Linked DNA regions of Lonchura striata. The protein of the gene in region 3 binds, or shares a complex with, the protein of the main gene of each other region. Links are inferred from orthologs where the notes say so. Each region holds a gene or a part of one and is shown on either strand. Other genes may lie near its edges. The genes, in order: SIN3B, MEAF6, MORF4L1 and ING3.

The links.
Region 1: the proteins of MORF4L1 (region 3) and SIN3B are in contact, whole or in part, in a cryo-EM structure (PDB 8BPA), measured with the Homo sapiens proteins. The link is inferred for Lonchura striata from reciprocal best matches to the Homo sapiens genes MORF4L1 and SIN3B. Residues at the interface, in NP_996670.1 of Homo sapiens: Gln217, Gln219, Tyr222, Ser348, Tyr350, Glu351, Val352, Ala353, Pro354, Pro355, Tyr357, His358; in NP_056075.1 of Homo sapiens: Cys394, Arg396, Arg402, Ala403, Pro405, Lys406, Thr407, Tyr408, Ser462, Phe463, Pro464.
Region 2: MORF4L1 (region 3) and MEAF6 share a complex: the UniProt entries of both Homo sapiens proteins name them as parts of the nuA4 histone acetyltransferase complex. The link is inferred for Lonchura striata from reciprocal best matches to the Homo sapiens genes MORF4L1 and MEAF6.
Region 4: MORF4L1 (region 3) and ING3 share a complex: the UniProt entries of both Homo sapiens proteins name them as parts of the nuA4 histone acetyltransferase complex. The link is inferred for Lonchura striata from reciprocal best matches to the Homo sapiens genes MORF4L1 and ING3.

What each region holds. Positions count from the first base shown.
Region 1 is NC_134630.1:3,955,818-3,963,237, forward strand, and holds the start of SIN3B (paired amphipathic helix protein Sin3b), read right to left. Parts: upstream 3,009-7,420; coding exon 2,904-3,008; intron 2,284-2,903; coding exon 2,177-2,283; intron 1,382-2,176; coding exon 1,228-1,381; intron 166-1,227; coding exon 1-165.
Region 2 is NC_134628.1:4,680,957-4,688,791, forward strand, and holds the start of MEAF6 (chromatin modification-related protein MEAF6), read right to left. Parts: upstream 3,015-7,835; 5' UTR 2,993-3,014; coding exon 2,897-2,992; intron 2,784-2,896; coding exon 2,668-2,783; intron 2,591-2,667; coding exon 2,503-2,590; intron 1,936-2,502; coding exon 1,890-1,935; intron 1,362-1,889; coding exon 1,169-1,361; intron 42-1,168; coding exon of another isoform or gene 17-41; exon of another isoform or gene 1-16. Other genes in the region: SNIP1 (smad nuclear-interacting protein 1), read right to left, coding at 6,925-7,189.
Region 3 is NC_134613.1:23,960,849-23,968,651, forward strand, and holds the start of MORF4L1 (mortality factor 4-like protein 1), read right to left. Parts: upstream 3,014-7,803; 5' UTR 2,887-3,013; coding exon 2,829-2,886; intron 1,199-2,828; coding exon 1,152-1,198; intron 1-1,151. Other genes in the region: ADAMTS7 (A disintegrin and metalloproteinase with thrombospondin motifs 7), read left to right, coding at 5,382-5,556, 6,199-6,542, 7,351-7,522. UniProt on the Homo sapiens protein: Component of the NuA4 histone acetyltransferase (HAT) complex which is involved in transcriptional activation of select genes principally by acetylation of nucleosomal histones H4 and H2A.
Region 4 is NC_134607.1:32,932,709-32,940,423, forward strand, and holds the start of ING3 (inhibitor of growth protein 3), read right to left. Parts: upstream 3,012-7,715; 5' UTR 2,871-3,011; coding exon 2,843-2,870; intron 2,672-2,842; coding exon 2,600-2,671; intron 1-2,599. UniProt on the Homo sapiens protein: Component of the NuA4 histone acetyltransferase (HAT) complex which is involved in transcriptional activation of select genes principally by acetylation of nucleosomal histones H4 and H2A.

The DNA.
Region 1 (7,420 bases), on a different chromosome or scaffold from region 3:
TTCCACGGAATCAGATTCCAAGGGAATTTGTGATTTATCTTCTTTGTAGGGAAGCTGCTGCCGAAACTCCTCAGAGCAGTCGCTGTGGTTGTGGGAGTTCTCCTGGGAGTAGTGCAAGACCAGCCCACTGCCAGGGAGTGCACTGGGGACGGGCTCTGGGGGCACCTGGGGGCACAGGACACACGAGATGGGTTGGAAAAAGATCAGGGACCAGCTGAACAACAGCCCAGCAGCAGTGCTGGCAAGTCTCCAGCTGAAAAATAATGTCACGTGAAGAAGGAAGAAAAAGGAGTTCAGTCACCAATCAATTTCCCTACCTGGTTTATTAACTCCATCAGTTAAAATAATGCCTGAAGTTCTCCCTGGTGTAAGAACCACCTGATTTGTGGCTGTCACAGCCTTATTGGCCTCAACTGAGAGGCTGCACCAAACACCACTGCAGGTTCTGCTACACTGGTTATTGCAGAGGAGCTGCCAGTTTTAAGGGGCATATTAAACATACAGCCCTTACAGGTGTTAATTCCTAAGCAACACAGGGATCTGAGGGAGCTGAGATTTAAAAGGTTGTTCCTGCTGCTAACTAGACTTACACCACAAGTTTATCAGCAGAATTCAGTTTATGGCTGTATTTCAGCTCCACACAGTAATAACAAAAATCAAGCAGGGGCGACATCCATCTGTATCCCAGCAAGTGGGTCTCACACCAACAGTATCTGATGGGGATTCCATGATCTTAAAGACCTTTCCCAATGTCAACAACTCAATGATTTCACAGTTCTTTTGCCTGTTTCCTAAGCAAGTTTCCTGGTTTCTCAGTGGAAGACTGGAAGTGCAATTCTTCCAGGATCACCCCTTGAAATTTGCCACTACCCACAACCCATACTGGGAACAATGTCAAGCCAATTCCAGTTTCAGTTTCCAAACACGACTGAAATATTTGGTGTTGAAATGGTGTTTCCATGCAGAATCATCATTCCTGTGTAAGTCAAACTACCTGGTTTGAGAATAAATTGGAGGTTGGAACTAGGTGATTTTTAAGGCCCCTTGCAATCCAAAGCATTCTATGATTCTTTGCATAAACATTTACATTTATATTACACCCATTAAAAAGGCTTTAAAAACATCAGCAACAAGCACTATACATAAATCTCCACAGCCTAAACTGTGCAGACATGTCCAGTGACACATGGAACAGTTTATTTAGAGGATAAGAGTTCTGTGACCTACCTGACTATTCAAAGGTGACTGTATACTTAATTTCCCATTCTTTGGAATTTCTATCCTGTAGCCCAGAGGAAGAAATGCATTGAATCCTACAATGAGGTCGGGATGCTCATGGAAAAGCTGAGAAACACGTCGGATGACTCCAGGTGTGTCAATGCTAAAATTGAGAGGCGCTTGTTACTTATTATCCAAATCAGAAACACAAGTTAAGCCCAGAAACTGCCAAGAGAAATGTGAAGTATCTAGTAAATTAGGGGTGCAATTATTTAAAAAAACAATTAGCCAAATTAGAGGGAATGACCACTGCAGCTTCACCCTGGGAGTGTTATCCTTGGGGAGGAGAGATGAGTGTGCAGGTTGGCAAAGGGACAGGACAGACAGCCAGCACCTCCAGAGCTTGCAGGTCACAGGTTCTGTTCAGGTTGCTTCACTTATTTCCCAGATCTGCGTTTCAGAGTGGAAAGCAAAAGCAGATTTGCTTTTTCCTGTGCATTTCACCTCTGGAAAATTATGGGATGGGCAGAAGTACTCCAGCTTCACAGAACTGCACCACTGGGGAACAGGGCAGTGAGTGTGCAGAGGAGGAATGATGGGGTGAAGGCTGGGGGGCTCTGCAAAGGCAGAGAGACCCCACAAAGGCTGAGACCTTAGGGAAGGGCTGGAGCTGTGCCAGGCCTTGGCATGGAGCTCAGGGAAAGGTTCTTCCCCCCGAGGGTGCTGGCACTGCCCAGGCTCCCCAGGGAATGGTCCCGGCCCCGAGGCTGCCAGAGCTGCAGGAGCGTTTGGACAGCGCTCTCAGGGCTGCTCAGGGTGGGGCTGTTGGGGGGTCTGGGCAGGGACAGGGGCTGGGCTGATGATCCCTGGGGGTCCCTCCCAGCTCAGGATGTTCGGGCCTCTGTGAAATGCTGATGAGGTCCTTAGAGCACCCTGGGGTGAAGGACCTTGGCTTTACCTCTGGCTCTTGAACTCCTTCATGATCTCCAGGAAGCCGTTGTAGGTGGCAGGGTCGCTGCCAAAGCGGATCTTCACCTGGTCCAGGTAGGACAGCGCATCCTCCACCTGCGGGGTGAGAACATGGTGGGGAACAGGCCCCGGAGCCCCCACGGCACCAGAACTGGGGCGGGGGCACCTCAAGACACCCTCAAGGGGGTGGGAACCGGCGCCGGGGGAGCCCCGCAGCAGCGGCGGAGGGCACTCGGTACCGGAGGACGGCAGGCCCCGGCGGGCTGCCCGTGCCCGGGGGTGGCACGGCACGGAGGGGGGCACGGCACCGGGGAGCCGGGAACAGGTCCCTGGGGAGGATGACCGCAGTACCTGAGAGGAACAGCAGGGCCGGGGAGAGGGGCAGGGCCCAGGCGAGGGGGGAACAGGCCCGGGGAGCCCTCACGGTACCGGGGGAACAGGACACGGAACCGGGGGAAGGGGATGCAGCCCCAGGGGACCCCACGGAACCAGCGGAGGAAGGCGGGGATGCCCCCGGCGCGAGGGGGACGAGCCCCCGGGACACCCCCCGATACCGGCGGGTGAGGGACAAGCCCTGAGGGGCGAGTTCGGCACCGCAGCCGGGACGGGGCAGGTCACGGCGGGGGCGGGCGGGGCCGTCCCGGGGGGGGCGAGGAGCGGCCATTCGCGGGGGCGGGGGAGGGTGGGGAAGGGGCGATGGCGGCCCCCGCACTCACGTGCACCGGCAGCTTCTCGTGCGGCGCGGCCCGGCCGCCGCCGCCGCCCCAGCGCGGGGCGCTGCCCCCGCCGGCCCCGCGGCCGCCGCCGCCCCCCGCCGCCATGTTGGAGTCGGGCGGGCGAGCGCGGCCCCGGCGGCGCGCGCCGCCGCTGCGTCAGCGCGCACGGCCCAGGCCACGCCCCCTCCGCAGCGAGACCCGCCCCCTCCGTGCCTCCGCCCTCTGATTGGCCACGCCCCGCCATAGACCACGCCCCCTCACCGCCCACAGGGTGTGGCCACGCCCTCATCCGTGCAGGCCACGCCCCCAGCGCCGCTTCCGGCCGTTCGAGCGAGCGGCGGGAGCGGCGCCTCAGCAGCGCCTCAGCAGCGCCTCAGGGACCTCCTCAGGGGCCTCCGGGGCCCAGGGGGAGCTGCTGGAGGAGCCCGGGGGGCTGCGGGATCCCTGGGATCTTTGGGAGTCTGCAGGAGCCGCGGGCTGAGCACTGGAACTGCCGGGGCTGGAGAAACGGCGACTGGTGCTGCGGGGCTGAGGGAGCCGAGGGGTGTTGGAGAGACTCAGACGGGGCTGGAGGAGCCCAGGGGTGGCTGGGGAAGGCCGGGGGAGCTGGTGGGGCCTGTGGGGAGCCTGAGGAACGAGGGCTGGGGGAGCCCCAGGGGCTGGAAGAGGCAGGGGGTGTGGAGGAGCCGGGGTGAGAAGAGCCATGAGGGGGTTTGGGAGAGTCATGGGGGGGTTGGGGGAGCTGGAGGGGCTGGAGAGCCCGGGGAGCCCCTCAATGGTGTGCCCTGAGCTCAAGGGTTGCTCTGGGGTAGCAGGGTAAATGTAGGCTTAAAATATGCCACTTCCCCCAGCAGTTCCTGTCAGCAGGCAATTTGAACTCAGTAAAACTGAGTTACATGAAGAGCAAAGAGGAGAGGGGGAAAAATAAAGCCGTGTGATTTGTTTTTCTTTAAAGCATTACAGATGATTTGCATCATAGAAAAGTGCAGAGAAGCCTTTCTTGCTTTGCCTTTAAACTTGCTGCTGGTATTTGAGCTCAGAATATTTTTCTCTATGTTGTGCTGGAGTATTCCAGCTGTTTGCAGCTTTCAGGCAGGATGCTCACACACGGCCTCTGGATGTGATATTCCATCCCCTGTTCTGATACTTGCACAAACTGCTGCCCTGTGACCCATTTCCCTTCATACAGGAAGGATTTAATTAATAAAGACTTTTTCTTTCACAGTTACTGCTTTCAGCAGCCAGACTGGTGGATTGATTCAGTGACCCAGCATACAAGTATTTATCATCTTTGGAGAAGCAGGCACTGCAAAGGCCTTTCAGGAGAGATGTGGGCTGAAAATGGCATTAGATTGTTGTGCTGGTAAATACAGGTTGGAGATGTTTTAGAGTTTTCAGTGGTTATTCAGTGCTTAAGAATAGAGATAATAAATACAGATTTTTACAGGAGTAATACTGGAAGAGTGGTGGGAGCCAAATACAACTCCTAGGTTATGAAGCACTCATAGCTGTGCAGGAAAGAGCCTGGTAGGGAACGTAAAGACCTTTATTCCACCTGTGGAAAGGAGTAGCTCAGAGATATCTTTGGTGTGTTGTCAGGCAAAAGAAAATCATTGATCCAACCCCCTGCACCTCTTTTATTTTTTCCTCCTGGATTCTCCTGAGCTGGCCCAAATTCTGTTTTCTGTTACTATTATTAACTTGAGAAGTCTCATCCTCTTCCCTGGTTTGTGCCATGTGGTGACATGAGCAGAACCAGCTGCAGGTAACACCTGTGAGTTCTGTTTTCTGCCAGAGCACAGTTCCCAGCCCTCAGCCCCTGCCAGCACCAACACTGACTGGTGAATCCAGCTGTGAGGATGCTCCCAGACCAGCCCTGGGTGCTGGGAAAATGTGCCTGACATTTTGTCAGGATTTGGGTGTTCTTGGGAATCCTGGGAGCTGGATGTCCATTAACCATTGACACTCAGCTCCTGGTGTCTCAGAATAGCTCAGCTCAAGTTGCTGCTGACAGAGCTCCAAGAGAGCTGCCAAGCAGGAGATCTGTGACCTTCCAAAGGGAGCCCTTGGGCCCCAGGGCACTCCTAAGGACTGAATCCCTGTGATCTCCAAGGAAATCCGGGATCTGGGTTCTGATGGTGTGCCTGGGCCTGTGGATCTGTTAGGAATAAATCATCCCGGCCTGTGGCAAACTGCTCCTCCTGCCTCTTGATTGTGGCTCTGGAGGAAGGATGACACTTGTTATAAATGAAAACTCCAATTTAATAATTAAAGAAAATGTATTAAATGTTCCAAATATAAATTTAGAGAATAACAACGAAAAGCCACTATCAAAAAAAAAGGGTCGGTGCCGAGCTCGGGTCTGACACAGCTTTGACTGCTGTGGCAGAGGATGCTTCACACCGACTGTCCCATCTGACCATTTTTAAACGATATTTCTTGCCCGAGGCAGAGTCCCTTTTCTTCCTTTTCGGACTGCAAGTATTCATGTGGAGTTCTTTTCTCTGTGGCAAATTGAACAATACATATCTGAGAGTGATCCAATTCCTGGAATTCTTATTGAGATGTATCTCCCTGATGGCTCTGGCTATCTTAGTCTCAGATATTTATCGAGTATTTATCGCCTCAGGCCACCTTATGGATGATCCATCTCCGGGCTGGCCACGTTCATTTGCTTGTAAATTAAGTCCTCCCTCCCTTGTCTGGGTGGTCTCCATCTTGTGTTGCATTCCCTGTCGCTTAAAAACTTACTAGAGTTTGTCTTAACAGTATATAATTATAAAATATACGACAATTTTATTTATTGTCATGTATTATTTATTTATGTCATGTACACATTATATGTGTACATGAATTATCATGTACACGTATAACAACAGTGACATCCTGCCTGCAGTTCAGTGGGAAGACAAGGGCTTTGTCCCGGGAAAAGGAGCTGGCTTTGCTCGGATATTTCCAAGCATCTCACTCAGGCAGGTGTGTGCATTGTGTCACACCCTTCACCTGTGAAACAGGGAAATCTGAGAGACTGCCCCTACTCTGTCTGCCCTCAGATGGGCTCAGGATTGGCTTCCTTACTTGGGAAATGGCTTATTATTCATATTTCAAGTTTTCACCTGTCACAAGCTGCAACCTTCAAGGTTGTGGCTGCAAATCTGTGGTTCTTTCAGCCCCTTTAAGCTAAAGACTGACAGGTACCTTTGTACCTGAGGAAGAACAGACAATCCTGTGTCCCTCATCCACAGGAAGGTGATGTGAGGACTGTTCTTTGGGATGCATATTCTGGATAATGAACCTACCTCTGCCAGAAATCAAATTCCAGATGTTTAGCCTGTGGTCCATGACAGAAACACCACAGGTTCCTTTTTCAAACACTTTCACACACCTCGCCTCAGCTAAGTAAGAGAGGGGCTCACAGAACGAGGGCTTCTCTGTTGTTTTGCAACAACATGGCTGGGAGATGTCTGTGTGCCTAAAGATCCAGGACTGCCATGCTGACACAGCTCTTCTGAGGCATGAAAGCAGCCTTCCAGCCCCAAAAATTGGAGAAGGCTCAGCAGAGTGCCCAGGAAGGGCATGCAGCATCTCAAAAACTTCCATATTCCAGACAATCACAGAGCCATCCTGGGAAGCTGCCACCAGCAGCTGGCAATCAGGACCAAGTGCCATCGCTGTGACACACAGAGAGGCAGGAGAGGCTGCTCTTGCTGCCACAGACAGAAAAAGGACATTTTTGAGCTTGTTTATGTGCTGTGTTTCCCCAGCTGGAACCCCAGGTCCTGTCTGAACCCCGTGGTCTGTGCCAGGAGCAAGATTAGGTTCCTGCAGACATATCTAGGTCAGTGTGTGCTGTTGTTGTCCTGGCGACTAAATGACCCACTTTCTCCTCATTTGTGGAAGCAGCTGCCAATGGGGCCAGGGCATGGACAGCACAAAGGCACAGCACCTTCCTCCTGCCTTTGTCTCCAGGCTGGGCTCCTACAGAAACTGGGCTTTTCTCCTCCAAATTTATTGTGCTTCTTGCAGGGAAAATCCCTCCTTTTGTGAGCCCCACTCTTTCTTGATAGCTGAGGTGAGGTGTGTGGAAATTTGAAAAAGGAACCTGTGCTGTTTCTGCTGCCATGGATCACAGGCTGTGCATCTGGAATTTGATTTCTGGCAGGGGCAGGTTCATTATCCAGGATATGCATCCCAAAGAACAGTCCTCACATCACTTTCCTGTGGATGAGGGACACAAGATTGTCTGTTCTTCCTCAGAAGAACACAATCAATTCTTCCTTCCTGTTTATCGTGTTTCTTGCATCTCATTCATAACAGAGGGATAATTAGAAATATTGTTGGGTTGTATCTGCCCCAGGAATGATCCTACCTTTGAGGAGAGGTGAGATCCTACACACAGCCCTGTGAAGAACTCCACACAGTGGGATGAGCACAGGGTAGGGACAGACCCTGCAGCAGCTCAGGCACTGCTCCACAGCCACCCCACGAGCTCCAGGTAGGAAGCACCAAGGCAGGCA
Region 2 (7,835 bases), on a different chromosome or scaffold from region 3:
GATGTAGTTTCTTGTGTTATTCCTGAACTTCTTCCAAATATCTACAGGCAAAAAAAGAGATTTGAACTTCTTTGGATTCCCAGCCCATGGGGAACCAAAGGGACATCCAGTCCTTTCGGATATTTGCCCAATTCAAGCTGCTGTAGGAAGGAAATTCTGACCCAAGAATTAAAGACACACTAATGACTCAACACTTAATGAAGGCAAAAAAGGAGTTAAGCATTTTTCAAGCATTGTACCTACCTCGTGTCCCCACCCCAACTACCCCAGCCCCCCTTTTAAACTTTTACCACTTTAAATCCTTTCTCTAATTGCATGGCAGGTCCCTTAAAGAGGAGAGCCTGTCCCTAGGCAGAGGCAACAGCTCAGAGCCAGCACAGACTGGCTCTGAGAGCTTTTAAAACTAGAGGGTTTTAAAAGCTCCATTACTTCTGTGAGATCCCTAGGCCCCAGCTTCAGCAATCCTTCCAGACAGCTCCATGTATCTCCTCTCCTCAGCTTTCCTCCCTCAGGGCCTGACTCACAGGCACTGTCACTGCCAGAGCCTGGGCTGAGGGCACAGGGACCAGCTCATCGCCCTCATGACACCTTAGGGGCAGAGCTGGACAGGTAAATCCAACCAGAAAAGAGTTCAAGGAATCTGTTTCACATAAATTTCAGGTCAGTTTAATAACAAACACTCTCAGGTGAAGGTGACACAGCAACTCCTCTATGCCAGCACTGAGACTCCATAGGGATGTGAGAGCTGGAAGGGGCTGCAGTGGAAATCCAGACACTGGGAGTGTCCAAAACCCCAAAAATATTCCCATTTGCTTTCCACCCTCCTTCAAAGAAAGCACTAACATTCCTGCCCTACAGAAACCAAGCAGCAAGCTCAGGAGGTCAGGACCTGATGGAAGGAACAAGCTTTATCCTGGAGAGATGGAAGAGCTGGAGAAGCTGCCCAGAAGCACAGCTGTGCCACAGCTGGAGTGAGCACCCTGTGCTGCTTGTTTAACTTCCTTGGCACTCTCCCCTCCTCTTCCAAAACCAGGAAAAACACCCAAACAACTGACCCCAGCTGCCTGTTGGTTATTCCAACGTGCTACTGGTTCCCCTCAGGCAATAAATTCAATCCAGCCCCAGCCAACTGTCCAGGTGTGGTGAGCAGGCTGCTGGTCCCACTGACCTGTGTCTGTTTTTGTTCTTTCTCTTTTTGTGGCTGCTGTGGTGGCTCCCAGAGGAAGTGGAGGAAGCAGCTTTCTGGGGCTTCACACCCTGCACGGAGCCATCCAGCTCTTCAGCATCCTCCTGGTTGGGCTCATTCTCCTGGTTGTGGAAGTCTGGAGAAGTGTCACTCTCTGTGCCACTGCCCGGCTCCCCTAGAGCAGGACAAAGCCAGGTGAGCACCAGGGTGAGCTCCTGGCACAGCCCTGAGTGGGAGAAACAACCCCAGCACAGCAGCAGAGGCACCTGAGCCCTGCAGCACCAGGTGAATCACAGAGCCTGGGACACAGCCCTGCAGGACACACAGGAAGCTGCTCCTCAGCACTGAGGAACTACATCCCCTTTGGTGCTGATCACAAAAACGTTTTTTCAGTGTCCTGGGGGTGTGTGGTCCCTCCCCAGGTCTCCTGTGACTGACACATCTACAGATGCAGTGCTTCAGCTCGTCCAGCCTCTTCCTCCACACAGCACCAAAGCAATTCCAGTCCCTTTTACACACAACAAAGCCCTCTGAGCCTGGAAAGAACTTGGGAAGTCAACAGGAGCAGCCCGAGGGCAGCAGACACAGGGATTGGGAAGGGGAGCCAGACCCCAGCCCAGATCTGGAAGGCTGAGACAGGGCTGAATGGTGGGGGACAGTGTAATTCTTCCCAAATTCAGAGAAAAGTGATGAAGGGACTTACGCTTCTCAATGAGCTGGTCCTGGACTCCAGCTAACGCACTGACAGCCTGGGAAACCAAATGGGATGTCAAGCCAAGCAGGGATTCACTTCCCAGTGCTCAAAGCATGGAGCCCAGCTCACACAGACACGTCCCTCTGATGCCCATGGCCCCGTGTGGCACCGGGGGTCTGGTGACAAAGCCAGGGGACAGCGGTGACAGCAGGCACAGGCACCCTCCCACCCCAAACACTGGGAAAGGGCTCTGGAAGGGGCTGCAGGGTGGCATGGGGATGCTTAGGGAGCCAGGGCAGGGATGGGATTGCAAATGGGGAAGTCATTCTGGAGGTGATCACAGCGGGACTGAGGCACCAAGGGACAGGGGTGGGATGGGGATAAAGCAGGAACAGGAATGGGGGCAAGGAAAGGGATGGGAATGGAGACTGGGATGGGGATGCTTAGGGCAGGGAGCCAGGGCAGGGATGGGATTGCAAATGGGGAAGTAATTCTGCAGGTGATCACAGCAGGACTGAGGGATGGGGAAAAAACAGGAAGAGGAATGGGGGCAAGGAAAGGGATGGGGCCAGGGATAAGGAGAGGGGTGAGCACAGCGGTCAGGGCTCATCCCGGCACTCACCGCTGCCGAGGTGACCGAGGACTTGCTGAAGAGCCTCTCGGCCTCCTTGAACTTGCGGTTCCTGCGGTCGTTTTTGCTGTTGGAGTTCCTGAAACAGAGACAGGCGGGATGGCGGGGCCGGCGGGCGGGGGACCCGGGCCGGCGGGCAGCGCCTCCGCCACTCACTTCTGGTTGGTGAGGTAGCGATCCCAGCCGCGGATGATGTTGCCGTACATCTGCGTGTCCTCCAGGTAGCTGCCCTCGAAGGCGTAGATCTGCCGCTCCAGGTTGGCCAGCGTCTCCTGCGGGAACGCCGCCGCGCATGGAGCAGGCCCGGCCGCGCCGCCCGGCCCCGCCGCCGCCCCGGCCGCGCCGCCGCCGCCCGCCCCGCGCCCAGCCCGGCCCCGGCGCTCACCGCCAGCTCCTGCTTGCGCTTCACCAGCTCGGCCAGCTCCCGGCGGGTGTCCGGGATCTGCGGCGGCCCGCCGGCCTTGGCGTGCAGCGCGGCCATGGCGGCGCGGCCTGCGCGGGGCGGGGCGCGGCGGCGCCGGGCGGCCGCCAGGGGCGCTGCGGAGCCGGGAGCGGCGGCGCCGGGCGGCCGCCAGGGGCGCTGCGGAGCCGGGAGCGCGGGGGAGGCGGCGGCAGCGACAGCAGCGGCGACAGGGACAGGGACAGGGACAGGGACAGGGACAGCGATGGGGACAGCGATGGGGACAGGGACAGGGACAGGGACAGGGACAGGGACAGGGACAGGGACAGGGACGGGGACAGGGACAGGGACGGGGATAGAGACAGGGACAGGGACAGGGACAGGGACAGGGACAGGGACAGGGACAGAGACAGGGACGGGGACAGCGATGGGGATAGAGACAGAGACAGGGACAGGGACAGGGACGGGGACAGGGACGGGGACAGGGACGGGGACAGGGACAGGGACAGGGACGGGGACAGGGACAGGGACGGGGATAGAGACAGGGACAGGGACAGGGACAGGGACAGGGACAGGGACAGGGACAGGGACGGGGACGGGGACAGGGACAGGGACAGGGACAGAGACAGGGACGGGGACAGGGACGGGGACAGGGACGGGGACAGGGACAGGGACAGGGACAGGGACGGGGACGGGGACAGGGACAGGGACAGGGACAGGGACAGCGATGGGGACAGGGACAGGGACAGGGACAGGGACAGGGACAGGGACGGGGACAGAGACAGGGACGGGGACAGGGACAGGGAGAGGGATAGACACAGGGACAGGGACAGGGATAGACACAGGGACAGGGACGGGGACGGGGACAGGGACAGGGACAGGGACAGCGATGGGGACAGGGACAGGGACAGGGACAGGGACAGGGACGGGGACAGCGATGGGGATAGAGACAGAGACAGGGACAGGGACAGGGACAGGGACGGGGACAGGGACAGGGACAGGGAGAGGGATAGACACAGGGACAGGGACAGGGACAGGGACAGGGACAGGGACAGGGACAGGGACAGGGACAGGGACAGGGACAGGAACGGGGACAGGGATAGACACAGAGACAGGGACAGGGACGGGGACGGGGACGGGGACAGGGACGGGGACAGGGACCCAGATAGGGACGGGGAGAGGGAGAGGGACAGGGACGGGGGACGGGGACAGGGAGAGGGAGAGGGACAGGGGCTGGGATGGGGACAGGGACGGGGACAAGGACGGGGACAGGGATAGCGATGGGGATAGAGACAGAGACAGGGACAGGGACAGGGAGAGGAACGGGGACGGGGACTGGGACAGGGATACAGGCAGGGACTGGGAGAGGGACAGGGACGGGGAGAGGGACAGGGACGGGGACAGGGATAGAGACAGAGACAGGGACAGGGACGAGGACGGGACAGGGATAGAGACAGGGACGGGGAGAGGGACAGGGACGGGGGATGGGGAGAGACAGGGATGGGGACAGGGACGGCGACAGGGATAGAGACAGAGACAGGGACGGGGGACAGGGACGGGGACACAGGGACAGGGGCTGGGATGGGGACAGGGGACAGGGGCAGAGGCAGGGACGGGGACAGGAATAGCGACAGCAGCAGCAACAGGGACAGGGAGAGGGACAGGGACGGGGACAGGGATAGAGGCAGGGGACAGGGACAGGGAGAGGACAGAGACAGAGATAGAGACAGGGATGGGGATGGGGACACAGGGACAGGAACAGGGACGGGGACACAGAGACAGGGACAGGGATGGGGACAGGGACAGGACAGGGATAGGCACAGGGACAGGGATAGAGACAGGGACAGGGATAGAGACAGGGACAGGGACAGAGATAGCGGTAGCGACAGCAGCGGCAACAGTGACAGAGACAGCCACAGAGACGTGGTGGCGACAGCAGCGATGGGAATGGGAACGGTCGGTGGTTCTGCCCACCCAGTGATTCAGGTAGTCCCAGTTCAGATATTCCCCGGTTCAGACATTCAGACAGTCCCCAGTTCAGATATTCAGATATTCCCCTATTCAGATATTCACATATTCCCCGGTTCTGCAGTCTTCAGGGTCCCTCTGAAAGCAATGAGGGATTTGTCTTTACAAACCAACTGTGGGGAGGTAAAACTAGCGCTGAGGTAAAAGCAGCAGTGGGATTTCACTGATTGATGAATGGAATGAGAGGGATTTGTGTTTACAGATCTACTGTGGGTCTGCTGATAAATAAAATTGGATATTGAGAGATGAAAGAAGTAGTGGGAAGAAGCATTGATTCTATAGGAATTCCACTGACTGACAAGGAAAAGGTGGGGGTATACATTAGAAGGGGGTCTGTATTGGGAAGTTTGTACCTCTCAAATACCTCAGCCAGTGGGGAAAGAGAGAGGGAAATGTGGCTGAGAAATTGGGATAAAAAGGAGGCTTCATCCTCTAACAACTTGAGAGACTCGATGGGAAATGCCCCATGGCCTCTCCCTTTATTGGAATAAAGTTCCAGGACTCCTCTGTCTCTTTTTTGGGCATAACCCTCAGGTGTGGGTTAGTTTTCCTGACACCTCCAACCCAAACCTTTCTGTGATCCTATTAAACTGTGTCGCTCCGATCCTCTGCAGTTTGGGGGCCAGTTTGCCCTTTTGCAGTACAGCAATTCTGGCACCTCCCATTCGGAGCTTAACAAATCTTTTGATAGGCGCTGTCACTCCTTCCCAAAAATCCCATTTCCCACAATTTTTTCCCAAAAATTGCCATTTCCCCCATTTTTTCCCCCAAACACCCAATGAAAAATATTACAACAGAAAGCAATCATGGCTAAATTTACAAATTGTTTATTTAAAAACCCTTGGAGCAGATATAAAGGAGCTCCTCCTGCTCAAACCCCATCCTACCCATCTGAAACCCCACAGCAATGCCCCATATTTACACTGTCAATGTGTACAACAAGCACCTTTGTGTACAGTCTGTACACAGCAGGGACGAACAGGTGAGACCACAAACACCCAGGTGAAATCAGTGAAGGGTGGGATATACACACTGAACATAAAGCAACGTTGGAGGAGACACCAAAAACTGCAGCTCCCACTGAGTGGGACTGGTGCTTCCTCCCTGAACACTGACTTCTTCACTGTGCTCAACAAAGGACTTGGGGAAGTTTTTATAAAAAGAGAACTTAAATAGTGCAAACTGGTTAAAACACGTCACCCTGTCACAGGCGTTTCTGTCTGACACAAACCCTGGGGTGGGGGTAGAAATTAGGGCTCTAGCTTACAACCCAGACACTCCACATCCAGGACAGTTTCAGCATCATGTGTGGGAACAGGGAACTTGGGTCACAGTCTCATCACCTGAAATTCCAGGAATTATTTAACTTCTGTTTCACATTCCCTTGTGATTCCTAGGTGGAATTCCAGTGAAATGCCCATCCCTCAGTAACCATGAGGCAAATTAGATACCCAAAACATACAAATTCATGAGGGTCTTTGCACATTTCTGCCATTTTAGCAGTGATTCAGGTAAATTCTCCTGTCAGAACTCCCAACAGGCAGAGGAATTTGGCAAGCTACGGAAAAGAACGAGCATCAGGTACTCTATAACCTTTCAGTCTGTAGCATTTTCAAAGGGATATAACAAAACAAGTCATAAAAATTTTCCAGATGCTGTCCGTGTTTGACATGGTTTGCTGGAAGAGTCTGACAACATCTGTGGAGGGTTTCCAGCACCAGAGTTTTCACATCCAGGTGCTCTTCGGCTTCTTGGGAGAAAAATAAAATAAAAATAAAGCTGTATTTCCTGATATGCAAAACTATCAAACACGAATAACGAGCAAAGCCCCCCCAAAACAAACTATGGGAACAGACCAGCAACACAGAAAAGACTTTAAGGCAACAAGAGGCATCAGTGCTGCAATGCTCCGTGTTCACATCCCAGTCCCGTTCAACCACGAGGAGTTTCTCTCCTCTGCCTCTCCCCTGCTTCTTCCTCATCCGTTAACTGTCAGACTCTTCCTCCTTCTCCTCATCCTCATCATCGTCCTTGGCGTTGGCCTCAGATTTATCTGAGGACTCGTGGAGCAGGACGTACTCCCTGCTGCTGAAGCCGAACTTGAGCACATCCTTCTCCTTCAGTTCGTAGTAGCGCTGGGGCTCGATGCGCTGGTTGTTGAGGAAGGTGCCGTTCCCCGAGCCCAGGTCGATGATGTAGGGCCTCACCCTGCGGCCCACGGTGCCATCAGCTCGGGTGTACTCCACCAGCCTGCAGGACAAAAGCACTGCCTGAGCCACCAGAGACACGGCAAGGGCGCTGAAAGCACGTGAGGCACAAACTGTGCTCCACGAGCAGTGGTTTGTGCAGTGAACACTCATCTGAACCAAGGAGAGCAACAAGAAACTGCGAGACAGCGGATTCTGAGAGAGGCTGCATCATCCCTAAAGCTCTGCTGCTGTAGCACAGAAGTTCCTGCATTGGGACAGATGTTCTCCAAGAGAGCACTGCTGGCAGCAGCACTCCTGTGTCACTGTCGAGGCAGGACAGGAATGAGAAGACTGGCTTAGAAGGCTGCTGAGAGTAAAACTCCGATTTATTCAAAATACCCTGCTCTTTTATAAAGAGCTTCGTGAGGACCAACTCCATTGGTCCTGAAGTGAAAACAACCCAAACTATTGGTGCAAAGTGCTTGACACACAGTGATAGAACTTAACTATAAACAATGTGAATAACAAGAGAGACAAAGAATTATTTACATTCTTGTCCAGCTCTTTCCCAGGCTTCTGCCCAGCTAGAAACTCTCAGTTTCTTTCTTTGACTGAATCTGAGACCCACACTCCTGTGCATCACAGCGAGCAAACAAACCAACATCTCCTTGAAATGCTCTCACAAACCTTGAAATGCTCTCACATCC
Region 3 (7,803 bases):
CAACCACAGGAGAAAAACAGATCAAAGGAGCAGGAAGAAAGCCAAGGTTGTTATTCATTACTACTGACAAAGCAGCTTTTAAAATGAAACTCTTTAAAATAAACAAGTCAAACCTTTTTAAAATTAAACTTCAAGATCATTCTGCCAGCGCAGGAACGCTGAAGGACCCACTGGGTACAAACAGCCAGCCAAAAGCCACCTGTGAGCTGGGAAATCCCTTGCAGCACCCAGCTGGCACAGCCTGCTCCTGCAGCACTCATTCCACCCTGGCAAGAGCAGGGCAAGCACAGCTGCTCCAGCTCGGGGCTGGCTGGGTGGCACAAGGTCATTGCCTCAAAGCCAGAAGCCTCCATCACCCTCCTCTCTGCAGGCACAACAACCCTGAGCACACATTCCCAACAAATCCCACAACCTCATCCTTCTGATCCAGAGGCAGGAAAGAGCAGAGTAGGAGCCCTAAGGTGGGAATGGTTTGGAGCAGCCCAAACCCTCTCAGTGCTCTGGGAGAGATTTTAGCATTACAACAACTCTTTCTCCTGAAGAGAGAAGCTGAGCGCTTCTCCTGCCTCCCTGTGTTAACATCCAAAGGATTTAAATCCCTGTCTGAGGTGCCCCAGGAATTTCTGCACACCTTCCAACCCACACAGCCCCAAGAGCCCTTTCCTTCCCTTCCAGGGGGAGTGGGGCACTCAGACACTGAGGCAGCAGGGGCACAAATCTGCACTGCAGGCTCCTGTGGTGAAAGAGCCAGAGCTGGGAAGCAGAACTGGGACTGCCACGTCCTTTGTCACTGCAGTGCAGCTCCTCCTGGGCACTGGTGCTGTGGAAGGCCACGGGCTGTACTCAGCCCCCTCCCCCTGAGCAGCTCAGGCACCAAATCCTGCAGGCACAAAGTGTTCTGGGATATTTCCAGTGTTCAGTGTTCTGGGATGTTCTAACAGCCTCTGGGAGCTTCCCAAAATAGCTGCACGGTGCCACTGGGCTTCCTGAAATGGTTCTGGAATAGAGCCCCAGGGTCTGAAATTGATTTCAGACAGCTTTCTGTTAAATTTAGTTCCAGTCCTTGGTCCCATCTAGAGGCACAGCAGACAGAAACATGTCCTTGTTTTCCTGGGCAGCAGCAGGAGCCACCTGCAGCCTCCCACACCCACCTTGGCTTCATAAAGGAGAGGTCCATGGAAACACAGCACTCGCTCACCTGCAAGGGAAACACAGAGAAACAGCTCAGGGGCCATGCCCACAGCCTGTGCCCCAGGAACAGCACAGGGAAACAGCTCAGGGGCCGTGCCCACAGCCTGTGCCCCCAGGAACAGCACAGGGAAAGAGCTCAGGGGCCATGCCCACAGCCTGTGCCCCAGGAACAGCACAGGGAAACAGCTCAGGGGCCCTGCCCACAGCCTGTGCCCCAGGAACAGCGCAGAGAAACAGCTCAGGGGCCATGCCCACAGCCTGTGCCCCAGGAACAGCACAGAGCAGCCTGGGGGCAGCTCCCAGGCAGGACTGACCCCAGAAACAAATGCTCTGTCCCGGCAGAGGGATCAGAGCAGAGATCCCCGAGATGCCAGAGCAGCTGCACACACACAGCACACAGTGCTGGTGACTCTGGCAGCAAAGCCCACATCCCTGCTCCTCCCTGACATCCCCAGAGCTCCTCCCCAGCCTCGGGGAGCTGCAGCCCCCACAGCAGGCTGGGCTCAGCCACAGGCAGGCAGAGCTGCCCCTCTGAGGGGTCACTGACCCAGGACACTGTCTAACACCCACCTCTGCACCTGAAGCTCCTGCCACTGTCACCCGTGTCCTCTCCTTGCAGGAAGGGCAGCACATGGCATTGCCAGCCCAGGGGAGTCAGGAAGAGAGACCCCCATGCTGCTTCCCCACGTAGCCTGTGGGGCAGGGCAGGGCTGGGCAGCAGCAGAACCCCCTCACTGTGGGCTTTGGAGCAGGATGACATTGTCCCTCAGGCCGGTTTTATCTCCTCGTGGCCAAGCCTCACTGTGTGGCTCCACTGAGGGAACTGCAGGATGCTGAACCCAGGATATCTGAGGGCACATCTCCTCCTGGAAGCTGCAGTGCTTTCTGCTTTTGGGAAGATGAGCTGTGGAACTGTGAAATGCCTCTGTGTCTCACAAAGAAAAAGGCGCTGGTTGTCCACATTGATGCATCACACAGTTGGTCCTTTTATTTATTTAAAAATGTCCCTAGAGACGGGGCTGACAATCAGAGGTGGCATTGCCACCCTCATCGTCACGGTGCTCACAGTGCTGGTGGCAGACACACCTCAGCCTCAGAGCTGGGCAGTGTTTTGCAGGAGAGATGCCCACAGTTACCGAGGAACATTCATTTTTAACAACACAGGGATGATCCGCAGAAAGGGTTCTTTGTCTCCATGATAACCCGGCAGGCTCCTGCTCCCTCACACACGGGCTGATCCCTGGATCCACACGTTGTTCCTTACAACAAAGCTGATCTCATCCCACCCTGCCATGGCAGGGACACCTTCACTGTCCCAGGCTGCTCCCAGCCCCGTCCAGCCTGGCCTGGGACATTCCAGGGATGGGGCATCCATCTTACACTGCACTGCTATTTCCGTTTCTCTTACTTTATTAATCTCAACCTCAACCATCACCTAAAAATCCAAATATACGTCGAAAAATCCTCCTAAACAGCCCGAGTCATCCTTACCCACCTAAACCCCGGTGCTCTGCGGCAGATGTGGATTCCAGCTGTGCTGGCATCCACCGCTGCCTCCATGAATCCTCCTGCACTGGGCTCCCTTCCGGGCGACAACAAACAAATAAAAAAAAATAACAACCATTTTCCAAACGCACCAAAACAAAACCCCCGACACACCGGAGGGCTCGCAGCCGTTTTAACACCGAGGAACATCCGCGCAGGAAAATGAAGGATAGAACGGGGTGGGGAGGGCCCGCGTGCTGCCGGGAGCGGAGAGGAAGGCCGGGAAGGGACAAAGCTGCGGGAATTCGCTTTCCCACCTATTCCCAGCGGGTCGGGGCTGAGCGGGGAGCGCTGGGGCCAAACCCCCCCGAGCCGCGGGGCCAGAGCGGGGCCAGAGCGGGGCCAGAGCGGGGCCCCGCACCGGGCACGGCCCCGGGCCCTGCCGCACTCACCCTCCTGGAACTTGGGCTTGGGGTCCTGCTTGGGCGCCATTTATAAGGGCCGGTCCCTCCTCCGGCCGCTCCCGCGGGCCCCGGCGCCGCCCGGCCCGGCCCCGCCGCCGGCCCGGCCCCGCCGCGCAGCCGCGGCCCGGGCATGCCGGGACATGCAGTCCCGCCCGCCCGCTCCGCCCCGCCAGCCGGACCGCTGCCCAGAGCGCGGCTGCCCGCGCCGTGAGCAGCCGGATCGGGCCGGGGGGCGAAAAAATTAATGAAAACCGAGAAAAAACGGGAAAAACGCAATGCGCCCAACGTGGGGCTCGAACCCACGACCCTGGGATTAAGAGTCCCATGCTCTACCGACTGAGCTAGCCGGGCGCTACGCACACCCAGCGGCGGCAGCGGGTGTCGGCACCCGCAGTAAGGGCGTTCCCTGCTCCGGCCGCCAGAGGGCGCGCCCCCGGCTGATTGGCGGAGTTAGCATTATCGCCTAATTGGCGTAGTTAACATTATCGCCTAATTAAACTTTGTCCCAAACGTAATCCATCAGCGGAGGTGCGGCCGTCCCGGGGAAGCTGTGGGATGCCAGAGCTGCGAGCAGCCCCCGAGGGGGTAATTAACAGAGAGGAGTAATCCCGCGTGTTTGCTCCCGGTGCGCTTCAACACGAGAGAAAATAAAAGGAGGCAGCGACAGGCAGCCCCGGCAGAGGAAAGGGAGTACATGGCGGCATCAGCCAAAGACCGTTTTTTATTTCTGACCGAAAATTCGCTGAATTTTTGTGATTTTTTTAATCGCGGTCCTCACGGCCAGGCAAAAGATGCAAAGCGGCAAGGGAGCGCCAGGGGGCGCCATGGGCCACGCTGGCAACGCGCAAATAAACCCCGCCCCTAATGTGCATAACCACGCCCCTTAATTGACAAAACCCAACCCCTAATGTACATAACACAGCCCCTAATTTGCATAACCGCGCCCCTTAATTGACTAAGCACCACTTATGTGCATAACCCCGCCCCTTAATGTGCATAACCCCGCCCCTAATGCGAATAACCCGCCCCTAATGTGAATAACCCCGCCCCTAATACACAGAAACCCGCCCCTAATGTACATAACCCCGCCCCTAATGCGCATAAAGCCGCCCCTTAATGTGCATAACCACGCCTCTTAATTGGCAAAACCAGTCCCTAATGTGCATAACCCCGCCTTTTAATTGGTATAACCCCGCCCCGAATGTACATAGCCCCGCCCGTCCGGCGTGCATTGATGCCTTGAGAGGCTGCCTGGAACAAAACCGGGCAGAGTTAAAGGAATAAAGCAGGGATTTATTAAATCCCTTCACAGGGTACACCTTGGGCAGTACAAGAGCCTGAGCGTGGCTACACCCAAGTTGGATTCCAGGTCATGATTTTTCACACTTTTATAAGTTTTGGTCCATTTCCATATTGGGTTAATTGTCCAATTGCAGCTCCAGGTTGTGCGGTCCCATCCTGCCGGGTTGCTCTCCTCAATTTATTGTTTGCACTTTTTGGTGCTGAAGCTGCAGCGGTGTCCTTGGCTCTGGGCTGGAAAAGGATTGCTCTGTGTGACTGAGCTGTGAGGGAGCTGCTGACACTCTGTAGGAAGCTCCAAGCTACAGACTAAAGCAGTGCAGAATGCGGAAAATGGGAAAGCTGAAACTTAAGGCATCAATAGAACCCCGCCTCCTGATGTACATAACCCCGCCCCAATATGAATAACACCAAACACGAATATCCCCGCCCCGCGGAGCCCCCAGCCCGCCGCAGCCATGGCGGCCCCGGCCGCGCTGCGCCCGCTCCTGCCCCTCGTCCCCGTGGCCGCCGCGCTGGCGCTGGCCGCGGGCGGGGGCACCGCGGGGACAGGTCCGGGGCACGGCTCGGCGGGACCGCGGGAGGGGCGCGGGGGTCCGCGGGGACGGGGGCGGGATGGCCGCGGAGCGCCGGGGGTCCGCGGGATTGTCCGCGGGAACGAGCGCCGGGGGTCCTCGGGGATGAGCGGGGGGAGCCGCGGGATTGTCCGCGGGGATGAGCGCTGGGTGTCCGCGGGATTGTCCGCGGGGATGAGCGGGGGGAGCCGCGGGATTGTCCGCGGGAACGAGCGCCGGGGGTGCGCGGGGATGAGCGGGGGGAGCCGCGGGATTGTCCCCGGGGATGAGCGCTGGGTGTCCGCGGGATTGTCCGCGGGGACGAGCGGGTGGAGCCCCCGGTGTCCGCGGGGATGAGCGCTGGGTGTCCGCGGGATTGTCCGCGGGGATGAGCGGGTGGAGCCGCGGGATTGTCCGCGGGGATGAGCGGGTGGAGCCGCGAGTGTCCGTGGGATTGTCCGCGGGATTGTCCGCGGCAATGAGCGCCGGGTGTCTGCGGGATGCTCGCGGGGCGCTCGGCGGCGTCGAGCCGGACAGCCCGGTGCCCGGAGCCGGCAGCCGCGGTGCCCGGAGCCGGACAGCCCGGTGCCCTCCCGGGAGCCCCGGAGCCCTCCCGGCTGCCCCGGTGCCCTCCCGGGAGCCCCGGTGCCCTCCCGGCTGTCCGCGCTGAGCCCGCCCGGGGCGGCTCCGGAGCACTCAGTCTCCGCGGGCGCTTTGCTCCTAGAGACGGCGTGTCCCAACACCGCCTCAAAGCGTGGATTCCATTTTTCGGGAGATTTTCGTTGTTTGTTCGGTGCTTTTTTCTCCTTGCAGCTGGAGTTTAACAGCGGGAGTTAATAGGGGCAAGCCGGGGCCGGGCTCCGGAGCTGCCTGACTCCCCCTCGCCCAGCCGGCCCTAACCCGGACCTTAATGCTGTCCCCGGCAAAGCCCAGCGCTGGCCCCGGGGGCAGCAGGGGCAGGCGAAGTGCCTGCTGTCCCTGCAGTCCCTGATGTCCCTGCTCTCCCTAATGTCCCTGCTGTGATGTCCCTGCTCTCCTTGATGTCCCTGCTGTGATGTCCCTGCTCTCCCTGCTGTCCCTGCTCCGTGCCGTCCCAGCGGGCACATCCAGCTGGTGTCCCGGTCCCTGCCGCCGCCAGCGGGGGAAGGGGTGTGGGAGGAAAGGTGAAGAACCCTGCGGGTAACCCCGGCACCCCCTCTCCCCAGAGCCGCGCTCCGGCAGCGACATCGTCCATCCCATCAAGGTGGACGAGCGCGGATCCTTCCTGTCCTACGACTTGTCGCACCGGGCCCTTCAGCGGAGGTCTCCGGCCTCCAGGAGCAAGCTTCCCGCCTTCTACGAGCTGCAGTACAGAGGGCAGCCCCTGAAATTCAACCTGAGCCTCAACAGGCACCTCCTGGCCCCGGGCTTTGTCAGCGAGCGGCGTTTCGGGGGCATTGCCGGTGCCAAGATCCAGCCGCGCTCCTCCGACTCGTGCCACATGATCGGCGAGGTGCGGGGCCGGGCGCTGCAGGGCGGGCTGGCTGCCCTCAGCACCTGCGATGGCCTGGTGAGTACAGCCCCTCCCCACGGAGCCCTAGCCCCTCGGGGAACCCTTTGTCCCGCCAGGAGTGACACCAAAATTCCCCGCAGCAGAGCCAGCATCTCCTCGTGCAGGTCCGGTGCGGCCATGGACGAGCTGACTGTAAATTTCCCATGGATTGCAGTGGTTTGGGAGCTCTCCAGGGCTGGGTTTACTTGTTTGTGTCCGAATTCCTAAAAAGAGCAATTCTCTGCCTGCTGCTACGTGATGGGATTGTGAGCGAGGGGCTGGGAGCTGGAGGTGCTGTGACAGCACAGCTCGTGGGCAGCAGTGAAGCTGCTTGCTGTTTCCTCGGCTCCACCGTCGGTATTTCCTGAGGCAGCAGTGACCTGGAGAGTGGCATTTTGGGGGAAAGGGCTTAGAACCTCCTGTGGGTTTGCAGAAATGGCCCCACGTACCTGGTGCTGCAGTGCTCATGCTCGTGTCCCGCACTTTGGAGGGAGCACAACTCCATGGGATCCTCCATGGCTTCCCACTGCCAGAGGGCAGGAGTAAATGGGATATTCTGGACAATCCTTCCCTGTGAGGGTGGGGAGGGCCTGGGCTGGAATTCCCAGAGCAGCTGGGACTGCCCCTGGATCCCTGGCAGTTCCCAAGGCCAGGTTGGAACCGAGGACAGTGGGAGGTGTCCCTGCCATGGCAGGGGTGGCACTGGCTGGGCTTTAAGGTCCCTCTCCACCCCAACCATTGCACTGTGATCGCTCCCAGTGCCGGGTTCTTGGGGCTGAGCTGGGCTGCAGGTGGCCTCACGGGGCCCTTTGTGTCTCCCTGGCAGAAGGGCGTGTTCCAGCTCATGAACGAGGACTATTTCATCGAGCCCGTGTCCAGCAGCCCCCGCGAGGAGGGAGCAGCGCAGCCCCACAGGATCTACAAGCGCCAGGTGCCCAAGGCCAGGGCTGAGCAGGGCAGGAGAGCCCCGGCCCCGCGGGCGTCCTGCGGCGTGCCAGGTACTGTCCCTTGCTCTGTGTCACCCACGGGTGCTGCCCTCGGGCCTCTGGGCTCAGCTCCTGCTCCCAGCCCTGCTGCAGGCAGGGGGCTGATGTGGAGACTGAGCTTTTGCTTTCATTTCCACAAAAACTTTGGTTTTGAGCTGCCAGGGTTGGACTTTGGGAGTGGAACTCGGTGGCTGGCCCGGGAGTTCCCAGTGTGGGCAGAGTGCGTGTGGGTCCTTCCCTGTGCAGAGCAGATGGGTTGGATAAACTCCCAAACCCAGCATTTCCAGTGCTGA
Region 4 (7,715 bases), on a different chromosome or scaffold from region 3:
TCCACTTGCATCATGTAGAGAATATTAAGAAGCCTGAGAGGCAAGCAAGAAGCACACACTTTATATGGAGGCTTCTAAAATCTTTGCTCTTTGACCAAATGACTCTAATTTGGTCTAAAAAGCCAAAAGACAAAATGTTCTATCTCCTATCCTCTGAGCACAAACACCTTAAGTGTTAGTTGTTCTAGTGGCTCCATAAAGAAGAAATGATAAAAAAGTATCTTCCCTCTTCACTTTTTATTGAGGACGTGTTATCAGTCTGGGTGAACTGCCTAGGGGAAAATTTCCACAGAAACTTGGTCTCTCCTGAAAGAGCAGAAAAGGCAAAGCCAAGTTCAGGTCAGGTCTATTAAACTATATGTTAAGTTCTCTCTGCTACACTCAAGTTCATCCATTTTTTCTTGTGACACTATATTCTGAGATAGTAATTTCTTAAGTTAAATTTCACAAGAGAGTTGCCAAAACTTCCATGAGAACAGTCCTTTCTCTAGATATTGACATTTTAGCATGAAATCCTGATAATCCATGATTTCAACTTAAATAAACACATTTAACCCTTCATGTGAAGCTCAGTTAAAGCTCAAGAGTCAAGTCCCAGCTCAGATGATCTTTGCTTTTTCCACAGCAATCTTATCAGAATATACAGCAGATAGACCCGGTTTTTTGTTTCTTCCAACTATAAACAGCAGAACCTGCCTCATTAGGAGTCACTGTGGTTCAAACAGGACAGAATACAAAGTCAACAACGACACTGAAGCAGAGAAGCAGAGATATCTCTGAATTACTAATCATGTAGATCTCTGGGACAGCATCACTCATCAAAGCATTGTTTTCAAGTACTTCTGAGACACAAAACAACCTCCAGGTTTGCACACAGTGTTCATCAGGCAGTTGGGCAAGTCATGCTGAAGAGATGCTAGTGCAGAAGTTTCATAAATGTTTTTGGATACCTTGCCAATCTTTTCACAGAATTACAGAAGTTCCAATGTCTGAAGAAAAATTTCTCTACACCTAAGGTTGGTCCTAGTACACAATATTCAATGTCATTTAGTATTTTCAGTAAACAACATGGAGTGTTATTTGTAATTTTCGTTAAAGCAGAGAAAATTACAATCTGCTGTCTTGGCACTGCTAGCTGCCTCAGTTCTAAAACACACCTAAAAAAAAATAACCTAGTATTCTCTTTGCCTTCTTATGGAAGAGAAATGAAATAAAATTTGTGAACTTATTCCAAACTGTCCATGTCAGGGAGCTGCTCACTCCCCCTCATGATTCTCCCTGGTGATAGGGACTTCAGAGGTGCTATGTCCCAGGAGCCATGACAGTTCCCACAACTTTAAGCACTGAACCCAAGACAATGTTTAGGTGATAATACACACACAAAAAAAAAATCCTATAGACAGTTCTACATGTGTTAATAAGGCCTGTTAAACAGACTTGTTAGGTCCATTGAAATAAATATCCAATGGAAATCACTTTACAGTATTTACAGTATTACAGAACTGATCCCACTTAGTGCTGCATTTTGTACTCCTATACAGTATTCCATTGTTGTTTCAATCTCTGTTCTTTCTCTCATTCCCCTTTGCAAAAAAAGATGTTTGCTCTCATCTTTTGTGCAGTAGCAGTTTCATTAATCAATACTTTTTGATCACAGTTATAGCTAACCATATTAATTGTGTGTTAAAAGACTGCAACAGCTATCCTGGGTGTTACAGGACACCTAAGTTCCAAACAAGATTGCATTAGAAAAGATGAAATGGCAATGCAGCCTGAAAACAGCCTAAGGCAGTGTATTACATCAGGTTATAAGCAGAGATACAAAGTCATCTACAAAGAAACCTGATGCGTATTTATAAATGTATTTTGTATACAATATATACTTGTACAAAAGTAAGCATTTCTATAATTTGTATAAAACCGAGAGCATAAAGTATATTTGGGTTGCATGTCAGCTAGGGCACAAAGGGCCGAGCAAATGGCACCTTCCCATGTTATTATTAGGGAGCTGGCTGGAAAGTTTCAGGGAGAGCATGCCGCTGCCTACTGGCAGGAGTGGGACATAACTCATGTTCCAAACCACCATCACTGCTCTTAGGGATCAAAAATCTAAAGAGTTTGGGACGTGCCACCGAAAAGGCGTCTGGGAGCAGCACAAGCCCAGAAGGCAGCTCCGCTAGGGCGCCGCCCGCGCCGCGGCCCGGCGGGCGGGGGCGCGGGGCTGGCCGGGGGCAGCCGCGACAGCGCCGGCGGCGTGCGCCCCGCCCCTCGCTCATCGCGCCGCTCGGCACGGGCTTGGCCAGCGGGAGATGACGAGCCGCGCTCGGGCCGAGCGCCGGGGCCGGGCTGGGGAGGGGGCGCGACCGCCCCGGGGCAGCGCGGGAGAGCGGGCGGAGCTGCTGCCGCGGGCGGAGCTGCTGCCGCGGGCGGAGCTGCTGCCGCGGGCCGGAGCGGCGCCGCTTCGCCTCCTTCCTCCCTCCCTTCCTTCCTGCCTTGCCCGCCCTGCGGCGGGGCCGCGGCGGCGGGGCCGGTGCCCGCGGGGCGGGGCGGGGCGGGCGCGGAGGGGCGGGCGGAGGCGGCGGGGGCGGGACTCACGTACTCTGCACCTGCAGGTCCATCTCGCGCATCTCGGTGAACCTGTCGCGCAGATCCATGGGAAGCTGCTCGATCACTGCGGGGACACGGGGGAGCGGGAGAGAGGGGGGAGGGAGAGAGGGGGGAGCCAGTCAGTCACTCGCTGCCGTGGGGGAGGGGGGGCGCCGCCTCCTCGGCGCGGCCTCCCCCGGCTCCCCCGCACCGGCCGTGCCCGGCCGCCCGGCGCCCCCGCCGCGCACACACTCACTCTCCAGATAGTCCTCCAGGTACAGCATGGCGGCGGCCGGGCCCGCGCCCAGGGGCTGCTCGAGAGCGGGCGCTCGTCCCTTCCAATATGGCGCCGCCGCCAACAACACCAGCGCCTCGACTCAGCGAAAACAACATTGGCGGCGGACGGCGCTCGCCGCGGCCGCGCCGCGATTGGCTGCTCGCGCCGCTGACGCACACTGCGGCCCGCGCTCTGCCGCGCGGCCTCACGGGAAGCGTAGTCTGTGCTGGGCGAGCCGGCAGGAGACTGCGCGTCCCGCCCGGCGTTCCCGTGTCCGGTGCCGTTCCCGTGTCCGGTGCCGTTCCCGCACTCCGGGGCCATTCCCGCGGTCCCGGGGCCGTTCCCGGGTTCCCGGGCTGTTCCCGCCTCACAGGGGCTGCGGCGCTCTTCTTCGGGAGCAGTTTTCGGCCCTTCGGAGCGTCCGGGGCGCGACCGCAGCGCCGCAAATCAGGCGAACGGGAAGGGAGAACTCGCAGATCCTTGACCACTCTCGAGGCTTTTGCTTGTCTGTTTTAGATGCTCGCAGCCGGCACTGGCTTATTAAAAGCACTAAAAACAGCAGAACTAATGAAGTTGCTTCAGTCCGTGACCTCTGACGGCACAAGTTAAAAAAGCTGCTCCGTTCAGAGCAGGTCACAGCTACGGACAGCCTCAGGAGAGGGCTTTGGGATTGCTGTTCAGAGTGTAAAACCAAACTTGGCTAAGAGCACTGATTGCCATCCAGTTACAATACTTGCAGTAATTCACTCGTTTGAGACTGGGTTTTTTCAGAGTTTTATTCCCCCAAAGAGTCTTTTTCATCACTCTTCTATTGCTGTTATTTACTGCTTTAAGCATGGACTGATGCATTTATCCAGATCTGTTTTTTTTGCCTGGGGAAAGAAAATTTTGGGTCTTGTATGATGCCAGGTGTAAGTATAGGAGCATAAGAATTGTGGTAACAGAGGAGGCTTGCTTTCTATTGTGCTTTTTGTTTCCATGTCTTTATCTGTGCCAGATGTGGCCAAGCAAAAAGGAAATGTATGCTTAAGCCAAGTATGAGTAAAACTTGTATGGGATGTTTTTGAGAGCCAAGACCAATGGAAAGTGGTACTTCTCTCATCTCTGAAGTTCATGTATTGAGAGTAGTTAGTTAAAGATGACTGAATTTTGGGAAGTGAAACAATACATTTTGTATATAGCCTTTATGATGACTGAGGGTAGTAATGTGTTGAATACGCATGGTATAGCAGGCATGTTGAGGGGTTTTAATTCCTTTTGTCATTAAAGATGGGGGAGAATGAAAAAGGTGTAAAAATAAGCTCTCAATAACTTTTCAACTTTGTGAAAAAGTGCTTCATCAATATGGTCACTTTCCATACTCGCTCCATCATCAGCCATGTAGTCTGCACTTCCAAACCAGAAATATCAACTACTCTTACACATAGAAATGAGAACAGATTTTAGATGGTCATTAAGCTCAGTTAGTCTTAATAGAAATAATTTCTTTATTATTGCTCATACAGATCTCTTTCCTGTAGAACTGACTGGTGTAGGCATAACAGTATTTTTAGAGTTTTGTGTGGGAAATTGCTTGACCCAGTTTGGTATGTAAAACACAAGATTGACCCTTTGTGGGAAGATAAATGCCTGCCCTTACTGAAATGAAAGGGTTTGATGCAGCAGGAGAACTTAATCCATGCAAAAGCACAGCAAAGTAACAACATCCTATATTTATTAGGAGAAAAGCTAGGTGAATTTAGGGGAAATCTGAATTGACAGCATCACTTTCTTTTGTGCTTAGTTGTGGCTTTAATGATTTTTAAAGAAAAAAAAAGTTGTACACATGCTGGGGAGCACATTTCATGCAGCTGAAGTCTAAGAAAAATACTGTAAACAAAGACACCACTTTTAGAACCGCAACTGAAATATGGTCATAGAGTAAGTCCCTACCATTTGTCACATGACCAAAAATCCCAGGACAGCACAAACACTGGGACATTGTGACTTTTCCTCTACTCATCTTTGCAAGCTTGGGGTTAGCTAGCAAAATTCTCAGTGAGGCTTACTGTGCCAGGGTATTTTATGTATGTTATGGTGCACAGACCAAGGAGACCAAGGAACACAGCTCTTGGGGTTGTGTCTCAGCCATTTCCATTAGTAATGGCATGTGCTCTGTGTCTCTTAGTGAAACAGGAAAATTAAGCTCTAGTGGGGCTGGATGCTGTCTGCAAGTTCAGAACTCCCCCTGTTTATGTGTAGTGGTCTATTGTAATGTGAGTCTCTTATAGAAATAGAGACCTGCTCAGAAAACTGTTTGCTGTTCCCTTTACAGTAAGGCATGGCAGGGGATTGTGAGGTGAACTACAAAGGAAAATACAATTCAATGTGTTCACTATTGAAAAGAAAACAGGAACTTATTTATCTACCTGTGGTCTTCTTTAGTACTTTTAGACAAATGAAAAAGCTCATGTTTTTCCTTTCTGCCCATATTAACTCATTTTGTATAGTCAAATGACTAGCCACGCCAGCTTCAATAGGATTGCTTGTGTCAGAGCTGTTTATCATGACATAGCAATGGCACTGAGTTTAAGGTGACATTTAAGAAGTGATAAGCCAAGAGACCATAAAAAAGAAACTGTTTTTACAATAGAAAACTTCCTGTTGTTTATAAATGCAAAGAATTAACTCTATTGATTAACTCAACTTTTAGAACAACCTAATTAGAACAGCTTCTGATAAGGAAACAGGGATTAATGACTGTTTATTGGAATGCAAATACAGTGAAAAAGAACTAAACACCAGCTGTGAACTCAAGGTAAAAAATTCAATTTGTGAATTACAATCGACATTGCTCAAAAAACTCCTTTGCAGCTACAGAGCTGCTTAGCACAGGAAGCGAAGGGAGGCCACAGGAGCTGCTGTTTTCTCCTGTTTATATAATGTTATTAATGTTGATGGCTTTTCTCCAGCAAATGTTTCACATAAATCATGTTTCATCACTGTGACGGAGTGATGACACAAAGGAATATTATAGATGCCCTGTGATCTACCTAAAGCTAATTGCTTGCCTAGGTTCCATTAGTTTTCAGCTGACAGGAAAAAAAAAGCTGAAACATAAATTTATGTTCTGATGTGCACTTCTCAGATGAGGGTTATGATTTTCAAATCTCCCTCTCTCTGCACTTACCCATTCCATATCTCTGTAATGTCCTTTTTCTATTCTAATTGCTTCTATCTCTTCCCATATGTAGAGCTGTTTGACACATCTGACTCCATCGTTTCCATCTTCGTGTTGCAGCTGCAGTCTATCTGTTGATACCACTCTTTCCTTCTTCCTTCCAAATCCATTCAATCTTCTGAGCTGTATGATTGATTGCTGGAGCTTTCTGTACGCGTTTAGGACTGCCACAGTTCTGTATTTACTTTAGTACTCTGATTTTAACTCTTACCTAATACAGCGTTTCTGGACTTACAGTCCTTACATTTTGTTTCTTTGTTTTCAAAAAAGACACATTTCTAAGGATATTATTTGAAAAAAAAAAAAATCAGGAAAGACCTACCTAGCCCATCCCTAGATTGTTATTCCGGGTCTCAGCTACTGCTGGCAGGTTCCTGCACTGTGCTTTCTCCCAAGCAAGCTTCCCTGCCTGTGGCACGCAGAGGTTGCGATGTACATCTGTGTGTTTCTCAGGGCTCTCAGGACTTCCAGACAGAATGACAGCTAAGTGGCATCCACCAGAGCCTACATAAAACTGCAAGCCTGGGTAGCTCTTAAACTACCAGAAAGGAGCAGTTTGGTTTTCTTTGGCACCTGCTCCTGCTGCACTCCAGCAGTCCTGTGAGGCAGGCCAGAATCCATTCACCACGGTGCACTGCTGCGAGCATGTGTTGTGGATCGCACAGTTCCCAGCAGTTCTGGCTGCCATTGTCAGTATCAGGCCTGCTGGTCTCCTCACATGCTTTCAACTGTTTTATTGTAATTCCTCCTCACATCCTGTTTGTTGCCTGCTATTTTTCTGCTGTTGCAGCTGTTTTTTCCATTCCTTCCAGTCCACCCAGTTTTGCAGTCCAGCTGTCCCTCCCAGCTGCCATGGACTCCACCATCTCCCAAATTCCACCCTTTCTGCTGCTGCAGGGGCATCACCCACAGCCTCACTTTCCCTCTGCAGGAAATAACTATCATTCCTGCTGTACTGCACACCATGGCTATTGGAGGACATTAGTTAAATAACTGAATTGTCTTGAGACTGAGCACTGTCTAAGGATTACAGCATGATTGTATTTTTTCTGAGCAATCAATTTTATGTAATAGGAAACTGCATCCAAAACTGGATCCTAGGAAAAAGCTGTGTCAGAGTTTTAAGTACATAATGTTATCCTAGTTTAGTGCAGCACTATGCAGGAACTTCACACTTCCATAAAACAATCCCTGAAAAGGGCAAATTTGGCCCAGGAATATTGTGCCTGGATGTTAATCTCTCTTGAGAAATCAGTTTCCTTTTCTGCTGATTACAAACTCTTGGATTCTGAGATTCACATTCCTGTTTCTGGAAGAAAATCCATAACCCCAGATAATTAATTTGTTTTAACAGTCAACAGGAAAATGGAACTGCCATTTATCTTTCAGCTTGACTTTGTGTACAGACTCAGGCAATTATATCTTCTTCTTTTAGTTAATTTTATCTACTACAGAGTCAGTTAAATTTGCTTGCAGATTTCAGTTATTTCCTGAAAATCTGCAGGATATGAGCAATTGCTGTTTATATATTAATCACTGAAATGTTTTATCCTGACTTCCTAAGGAAATAAAGCTTACATGAGCAATCCATATGTTTATGTGAATACTTCTTTATCTGTTTTTTTTTTCATT